2 linked regions of the Schizosaccharomyces pombe genome follow. The gene in region 1 interacts genetically with each later gene. Each region holds a gene or a part of one and is shown on either strand. Other genes may lie near its edges.

The links.
Region 2: mutations in set5 (region 1) and npc2 together harm fitness less than expected from each alone (positive genetic interaction), as found in Schizosaccharomyces pombe (one large-scale study listed by BioGRID).

What each region holds. Positions count from the first base shown.
Region 1 is NC_003421.2:2,033,793-2,037,550, reverse strand, and holds set5 (histone lysine methyltransferase Set5), read right to left. Parts: upstream 1,873-3,758; 5' UTR 1,791-1,872; coding exon 831-1,790; 3' UTR 558-830; downstream 1-557. Other genes in the region: protein Dms1, read left to right, coding at 3,545-3,619, 3,677-3,758. UniProt on the Schizosaccharomyces pombe protein: Histone methyltransferase that monomethylates 'Lys-5', 'Lys-8' and 'Lys-12' of histone H4 (H4K5me1, H4K8me1 and H4K12me1, respectively), thereby controlling gene expression and remodeling chromatin structures.
Region 2 is NC_003424.3:4,913,660-4,917,417, forward strand, and holds npc2 (phosphatidylglycerol/phosphatidylinositol transfer protein), read right to left. Parts: upstream 1,759-3,758; 5' UTR 1,372-1,758; coding exon 805-1,371; 3' UTR 312-804; downstream 1-311. Other genes in the region: M-factor precursor Mfm1, read left to right, coding at 3,440-3,555, 3,627-3,639. UniProt on the Schizosaccharomyces pombe protein: Catalyzes the intermembrane transfer of phosphatidylglycerol and phosphatidylinositol.

The sequences.
Region 1 (3,758 bases):
AGATAGAATCAACATATCAGTTTTGTATTAGAACATTTTGATACACGTTTCATGATTCATTTATCCAATATAGTTTTAGTAGAATGATATTCATTTTAGTAGATAATCTAAAAAAGCAAATATTAAACTGCATCAGCCGGGAGTCGAACCCGGAGCTAATGCTTGGAAGGCATTGATGTTACCGCTACACCACTGATGCATTTATTATTTAGAGGTTAAAGAATATGTTATATATTGTTACAAAAGCAGTGTCTTAAGAATGTGTATAATTCTGAAGAAATTTTTTGTTGTTTTGAATAATAAGGAATATTTGGTTTATTGATTTACTGGTTCTATTTGTGAATCGGCTTTTGCTCAAAATACCGAATCTATTTTTTGGATATTTTAAAAAAATCAGCAAACATGCACCAAATGCTTAAATCTCTTCAACAATAATGTTTACAACTCGATAGGAAGTGATTACTCAATACTGCAAACCCTTCTTATAAATTTCTTTTATAAATACCTTTTGTATGAATTAAATCAGTACTCACTTCTATGCTAAATACTGAATATTCTCCATATTAAAATATTCTCAATCATTTACAATTCATGCCAAACCCCAATAGGTTTCTAAATTTTTTATTTATAAAAAAGAAAGGAGATACAAAAACTCTAGGATCTCAGGAAGATAGTTTCAATTTCAGGTTTTTATCATCCATAAAAGTTTTATAATTTTTCAATAGAATAAATACAATCCCAAGCTCATCAAACTAAAAGTTAAGACGAGCATTAACAATACATGCCCAATTTTCCAATAAAAACAAAAACAGTAGTTTTTTACCCCATGCTTAATCAGTATCACTATAAACATCTTCTTCAAGCTTACATCCCCATAAATTATCTTCCAAATCCGATAGTTCATCATCCTCTTCTAAAAATAATGGTAGAGCAGGCACTCCTTCAGCAAGAGCATGACTTCGTGGGTTCTCTACATACTTGGAAATTTTCAAATATTTTTCAGAATCAGTTCCTTCATACAAACTAATTGCTTTAGTCCCCTTTTTTGCAAAAATACTGGCTCTCTCAAAATCACCGTGGATGACACATAATCGGAAGGCATCCAGAAGTGCAATTATATCTAACCGACCGAAAAGAAGCTCTTCGTGGGCAATGTGTATCCTATGTCTCAATGCTCTTAGAGCACCTCTTGGATTAACTATACACATTTTTGCCATGGTTCGGTCATAGTAGGCCAGTTGCTTTCTCCTTAAATCGCTGATTTTCCTAATCTTTCGTTCCTCTACAGAGCAAACACTACAATAACATTTAAATCCAAAATGCTCGAGCAATATTTTTTGTCTTTCCGTATGTGATTTATGTAAGTCTATATATGTCGTAAGTATTTCCTCGCCAGCCTCGATGTCGCGAACAGCATGAACCGTAACCTGATCAAGTCTAGGATTCCACGTATGTTTCACGTTAGGACTACAATCGTGATTCATTCGAGAACCAAGTAAAAACATTCCACCCTTTGTCTCATCAATGGTCAGCGCATTGGAATAAAATGGCCCAAGGAATGGTCCCATAGTGTCTGGATGAGCGTTGAAAAGTCTATGAAAAGCTTCCTGTTCTTCTTTTGTTTTTGTAGACAGTGCTTCCTCGATTTCCTTAGCGTCACTTTTTGTCCTTATCAAAGGCGTTTCTGCAAAAATTCTTGTACCGACGGGGATTTTTACTTTTGCAATCATACCCATTCCTTTGTTAGGAATGGGGACAACTTTATAAATCTCTGTTTCATACGGGTTCATGTAGTACGATTAAGCAATACATTAACGCATGGACGCTTAAAGTTTTCAAAGTTTGGAGATTTTGGTGGTTACGAAATACGCTGCAAAAAATAGAGAAAAAGAATCCAATATATATGGATAAAGCTGAAAATAGTTCTTTACTATTTACTCCAATATTTCTTTTTCTTTTATTGTACTTTTAACCCCAATTGGTTATATCACAATTTGTTTTTCCCAAGAGATCTGTCAATTTTCAAAAAAAAAAAAAAAAGAAAAGGAATATAATTCGAATTTCAAAATGTTCAGAGTGTTATGGCATTTTAAATATATTCCTAAATTTATTATTAATTATAGCAATTTGTTTATATTTTATTGTCAAGGATCTTGAATTAATCATAAACTTTGTCATCATATTTTTTTATAAAATCCTTCGTACAAGAAAAATGTAGATTGGCAATTGACGAAACAAAAGCTCCATTTCTTACCGTATCAAAGATATCAAAACACGTAATTAAAATGGTTTAAAAAATCCTTCAAACGATGGTTTAGCATTACCAAAAAATATAATCGCAAGTTTGTGATTAAGCTTAGATTGAAATCCTAGAATTTATTGGTATGTTGATACCTGAAACAGCTTCTGCATTACATTATTATTATTATTTTTTAGATTTAAAAAATAAATGTCAAACTATCATGAAAAAGTACCTAAAATGAAATAAAAGGATGCGCATTATTCGATATGCATGTGGAATTGGTATACTAAAACTTAGAGAATTACTGAACTCAAGAGCAAAATCTTGCTATGGCCAGTTCTTCATAACACAGTACTTTATATGTAGATATTGTTTGAAACGAAAATTGTAAATGTCACTTCGGTTAATGTAAGTTAAATCACTTAAAAGAAACTGTACCAGAGTTTTTGAGATTTAGGATTTGAAGGGTAAACTAGAAATAATTTGATTTATTATAATATTCGGCATTTCCGTACCTTGTCAATGTGTGAATTATGTGCATAGGTATTTCGTAGGGTGAACAAAATGAAACTTGACCAATGTGCCCCATTTCAGACCTTGACAAAATGAATGAAAGTTTTAAGATCAGAGATACTTTTTCACTATAAAATTCTTCATGTCAAGGATTATTATAATCTCACTCTTTCTTACTCGGCGTCGATGATTTTCGGTTCAATAAAAAAAAACAAATTGTTGATTAAAAAGGAATAATAAAAAAGAACGAATCTTATTCTAACTCGCCTACATTTGTTATTATTTACCTACTTTTTTTCTGATATTTACTACTACATGCCCTTTTCAATAATTTGGTAACTCAAGTCACATGTTACTTCGATAACTTTTATGAAATTGTCTTCGTTCATCTTCAACCATTAGTCCCTTACGACTTAGTTGATGAATTTTACTTGAAGTTTACGATACTATTTAATTAGTAAATTTTTCAATCAATAGGAAAAACAAGAAGTTTTCTTATGGAAATGATAATATAGTTACAACTTGACTGACGGCATACTCCTTTCTGTATAAAAAACATAGTTAAGGTCTATTGATAGAATTTTTAATGTGTTTATGATAATATTTTTATTTATTAAAGCGAAATCGAGTTATTAACTTCCTTTTTTGTTCTGATTCACTGTTCTTTTGCATCTAAAATTAAATTTCTTTAAACTCCTTTCGCCGGAAGAAATTCAATCCCTTCGAGAACTATTTGCTTTCAAATCAAAATTTATTTTTGAAAATTTATTAAGTTTCACTTGTTGCAGTATGAATTCCGTTCCTAATGAATTGACGAAAAGCCAAGAGTTGTTTGGACAGATCTCCAAGATATCCCATTCGAAGGTAAGTTAAATCATTTCTATAGAAGCATCTTGTTTTCCTCTCTAACAATGGTTGCAGATTTCCATTTCCGAACTTATCACTCTCCTTGACATTCATTATAGTGAGCTGTTTACGAAAAACCCTTGGATGAAAAAAGAAG
Region 2 (3,758 bases), on another chromosome or scaffold:
TCTTAATACCATTATAGATTAATCATTTTGAATCATTCTGTATCTTTATTGTACTACTGGTACTAATTTTGCTTAGACATTTTTGCTCCTTCTTCTTCTTTTTGTTTAAATTATACATACCAAAATTTTGGACTTTGAATAATGGTAATTTTTGGTTGTCGTAGTGTTAAATATGTATGCGTCTTGCATATGAATCACGACGAAGGAATCAATTAAAAAATCAATCCTGTACATAATAAAATTAAGTTTATTTATTTCATTTTATCGGATTTAATCGTCTAAAATTTATATCTTGGTCATCCAAGCTTATATCTCTTTCTACTCTTATCAGCAGCACACTTTAGTTATGGTTATTTGAAAACTTGTGTATAAATTCCTGGTTATAGAGAAAATGAGTATAAGACAACAAAAAAAAGCCTAGTCGGCATGCGACATGTCTCAAACATATCTTTGGCGTATTGATGAGCATCTTACACACTCACTATACGTAACAATAAAATTAAGAGGGATTTCATGACAAAAGAATACTAGAGTGAAACCACTATGACTAAAATAAAAACTGGTAAAAGGTAATTCTAAAATATTAAATCATGTATAGAAAATAGTCCAATTAATCAAGATAGCGTTGAACGTGACCTGATACTAGATTGCACAAACGAAATAAAACAATCTTGAAGTAAAAGCAATAGCACAATAAAAGAGAAGATACCTCATTTAACTTAACAAATACATATGATGTTGACTCCGATTATTTTACATAGCGAAGTAGAGGAAAGTCAATAGGCATGATAGGAATGCCAAGCTTTAATGGTCTTGGTTGATTAATTGAAATCCGAAGTGGCTAAAGGATACAGAGGCAGATACGCATGTCAACTGTTCGCCATCAGCATTGTAGGCAGTAGCAAGCACATGGTATCTACCAGGTGGAATAGCCCAAGGGAGGGAAATGGTAGCTTGCTTGGTGATGATACCAGGTTCAACGGGACATTCAACAGCAGCAAGTTCGTAAGCCTTATCGCAAATGTCCAAGCGCTCATTCACAATTCGAACAAATCCATACTTTACCTGAATATCCACGTAACTGCCATTCAACACGGTAGTACCAACATTAATCTCAGTCTCAATGGTAAGGTTTTTACCGGCAGCTGGGGGATTCGGTATCAAATTAATGTAGTCAACGACAACATGGTCATCGCCACGATCCCAATCGGCACAATAGCTGGCAGGATTGGCTCCAGGGATCTTTTCACTGGTAGATGATACCAAATCGGTAGACTTTGACTCACCAAATGAGAAAGAAGAAAACCAAGAACTGGCACTTATAAAGATGGGCAAACAAGTGATTGCGTAAATAAAAGTTGTTAATCTCATGGTGTCTGTATTGTATAAATCTTATATTAGAGAAGGAAAAAAAGGATAATAAACTATATGTAAATGGATGCAGACTTTAAACAACGCGAAACAAATAGGCGATTCTGGGGCCAATTAATAATTAAAGAAGTAGTAAAGGTACTTCAAAGCAATTGAAATCTGAGGAAAAAGTACAAGAATCCCGTAAAGCAGATAAATTAAGGCGCAGACAAAGCAAGGTTTCTCTCAAACGACAGATTTGAGAAAAACTTCAATCTGCAACGTTTTTTCGAAAGTGAAACCGCTTTAATAATTTCTTTTTGAAGAATTGATTATATAGAGCTCTTTTAAACGTCCAAATCCTACGATAGAAGATAATTCGCCTCAGGTATGATATAGGTGGTGGTTAGGTTAGTAAGATGTCAGAACCCGGGCCACATGTGCTATGCCAGCAACGCAGAAATCGAGGCTCAACACTGTTACTAAGTGGAAATACGATTGTACCTTTAATATAAGCTAATTAATAAATAAGGGATACCCAGCGGAAGGCTATTTTTTAAATACTCTTTTACGAAGTGCTGCTACGATAAAATTGTGTATTGCAATTAACATCCGTAATGTAAAACAATCATAAGAAGATGTAAACAGTATGGTCGAAAGTTTGTAAGCGATATTTGAAGAGATTCAGATTTAATTTGTATAGAAAAACCTTTAATAAGATTTATATTCATGAAGTTCCTAGCAAGAGATATGGCTGAACAGCTTGATAAAGTGAGCGATTATTAAATGAAAGACAATGTGTGTCCCTGCAAACAATGGGGGGTAGGAAACTTTACCCCTAGTTATTGTATTTTTGTTCATTATTATTATTATCTCCTTTGTCTAATTAAAATTGATGAAAACCATTATTGTTGTTTTTATGTATTGTTTACTGTTTCTTAAGATCGACTAGCAGACAACGTCATTTGGCTGCACAAGCGAGTTTTAGCACGAGTTTGAACAAAATCATTAGACTGCTATACAATATGTTAAGCATCTTAAGCACTTGATGTAAAATAATATACACTAATTTATTATAGCGCAGTGCATGGCACTATATTATTTTACCTCCATACTAGGAATATATATAAGCTACCAATATATTTTATAAGGATATCACGAGATGGTAAAAATACTATTGATGCTAGGTATAAAGAAAAACACAAGGGTATACGAAGAATACGGTTCAATGATGATAAAAAAATGTCAAAATGAATAGGATGGATAGAAAAATTTTAATAAGAAATAATGTAATTACTGGAAGCTTTTTTAATTCATTTTTCTCTTTGACCATTCAATCTAATTCATGTATGAATAGTAAATTCCTTATAGTAAATACGGCCCGGCAATTATTTAGTATTGTTGATAAGTTTTCTCAATTTACAATACCATTTGAGGGGGATTACTTAATTGTAAAAATTTTATTGTTATGCTTGCTGTTGGGATAGCTTTGATAGCATGTTTGATTGTTAAGTAATTTTTTGTTTTCATTTTCTGTTGTTTACAAATGAATCAAAAGCCACAAGTCATTGTCCGTTTGTTTACGACCCATTGTTTGTGCAGTAAAATCTCCCCAAAAAAAAAAAAAAAAAAAAACTATCAATCAGCTCTTATCGCTCTTTCTCCACCCTTCCTTGTACCTTTATGATACCAATAACCCTTTTATTCGTTTTTCTTTCGTACAATGGCTTTTCACTATTGTAATACAATAGAGCTGCCCCTGGCGATTCCAAGCCGATGGAGCTGTTACTAACGATAACTTAGTAAAAACAATGTTTAGAGTATGAAAAGAGGTATCTTTGCTTGTCTACATCCGGTGTCTATCTTTGTGCATGGGATTTTTTGCATTATTGAGTATTAACAATTGACTAGACAATGGGTCCGACCAACAAAGAAGTCTCAGTTTTTTTTAAAACTTGGGAATTAAAATTTGTATTAAAGGACAGGATAATTCTGTATTTTCGCCATTGAATTCAACAGCTTTCAATTCACTCTCACGTCTCTTAAACCTTTTTGTTGACATTTCGTTTTTCACTTTCTTTACTTAACAATGGACTCAATGGCTAACTCCGTTTCTTCCTCCTCTGTCGTCAACGCTGGCAACAAGCCTGCTGAAACTCTTAACAAGACCGTTAAGAATTATACCCCCAAGGTTCCTTACATGTGGTAAGTCAATAATTTCCCAAATACTTCGTAGACAGGATGTGTTCAAAATTTACTAACCGATTTCATTTTAGTGTCATTGCATAAATATGTAATGTTTAGACAAGCCACTTTTCTTGCCTACGTTCTCTAGTACTTTAGGACGTCCTTTTTTTTTGCAATTATTCTGTTTTTGTTCAGCTTTCTCAAGCAGACGTACAATTGCT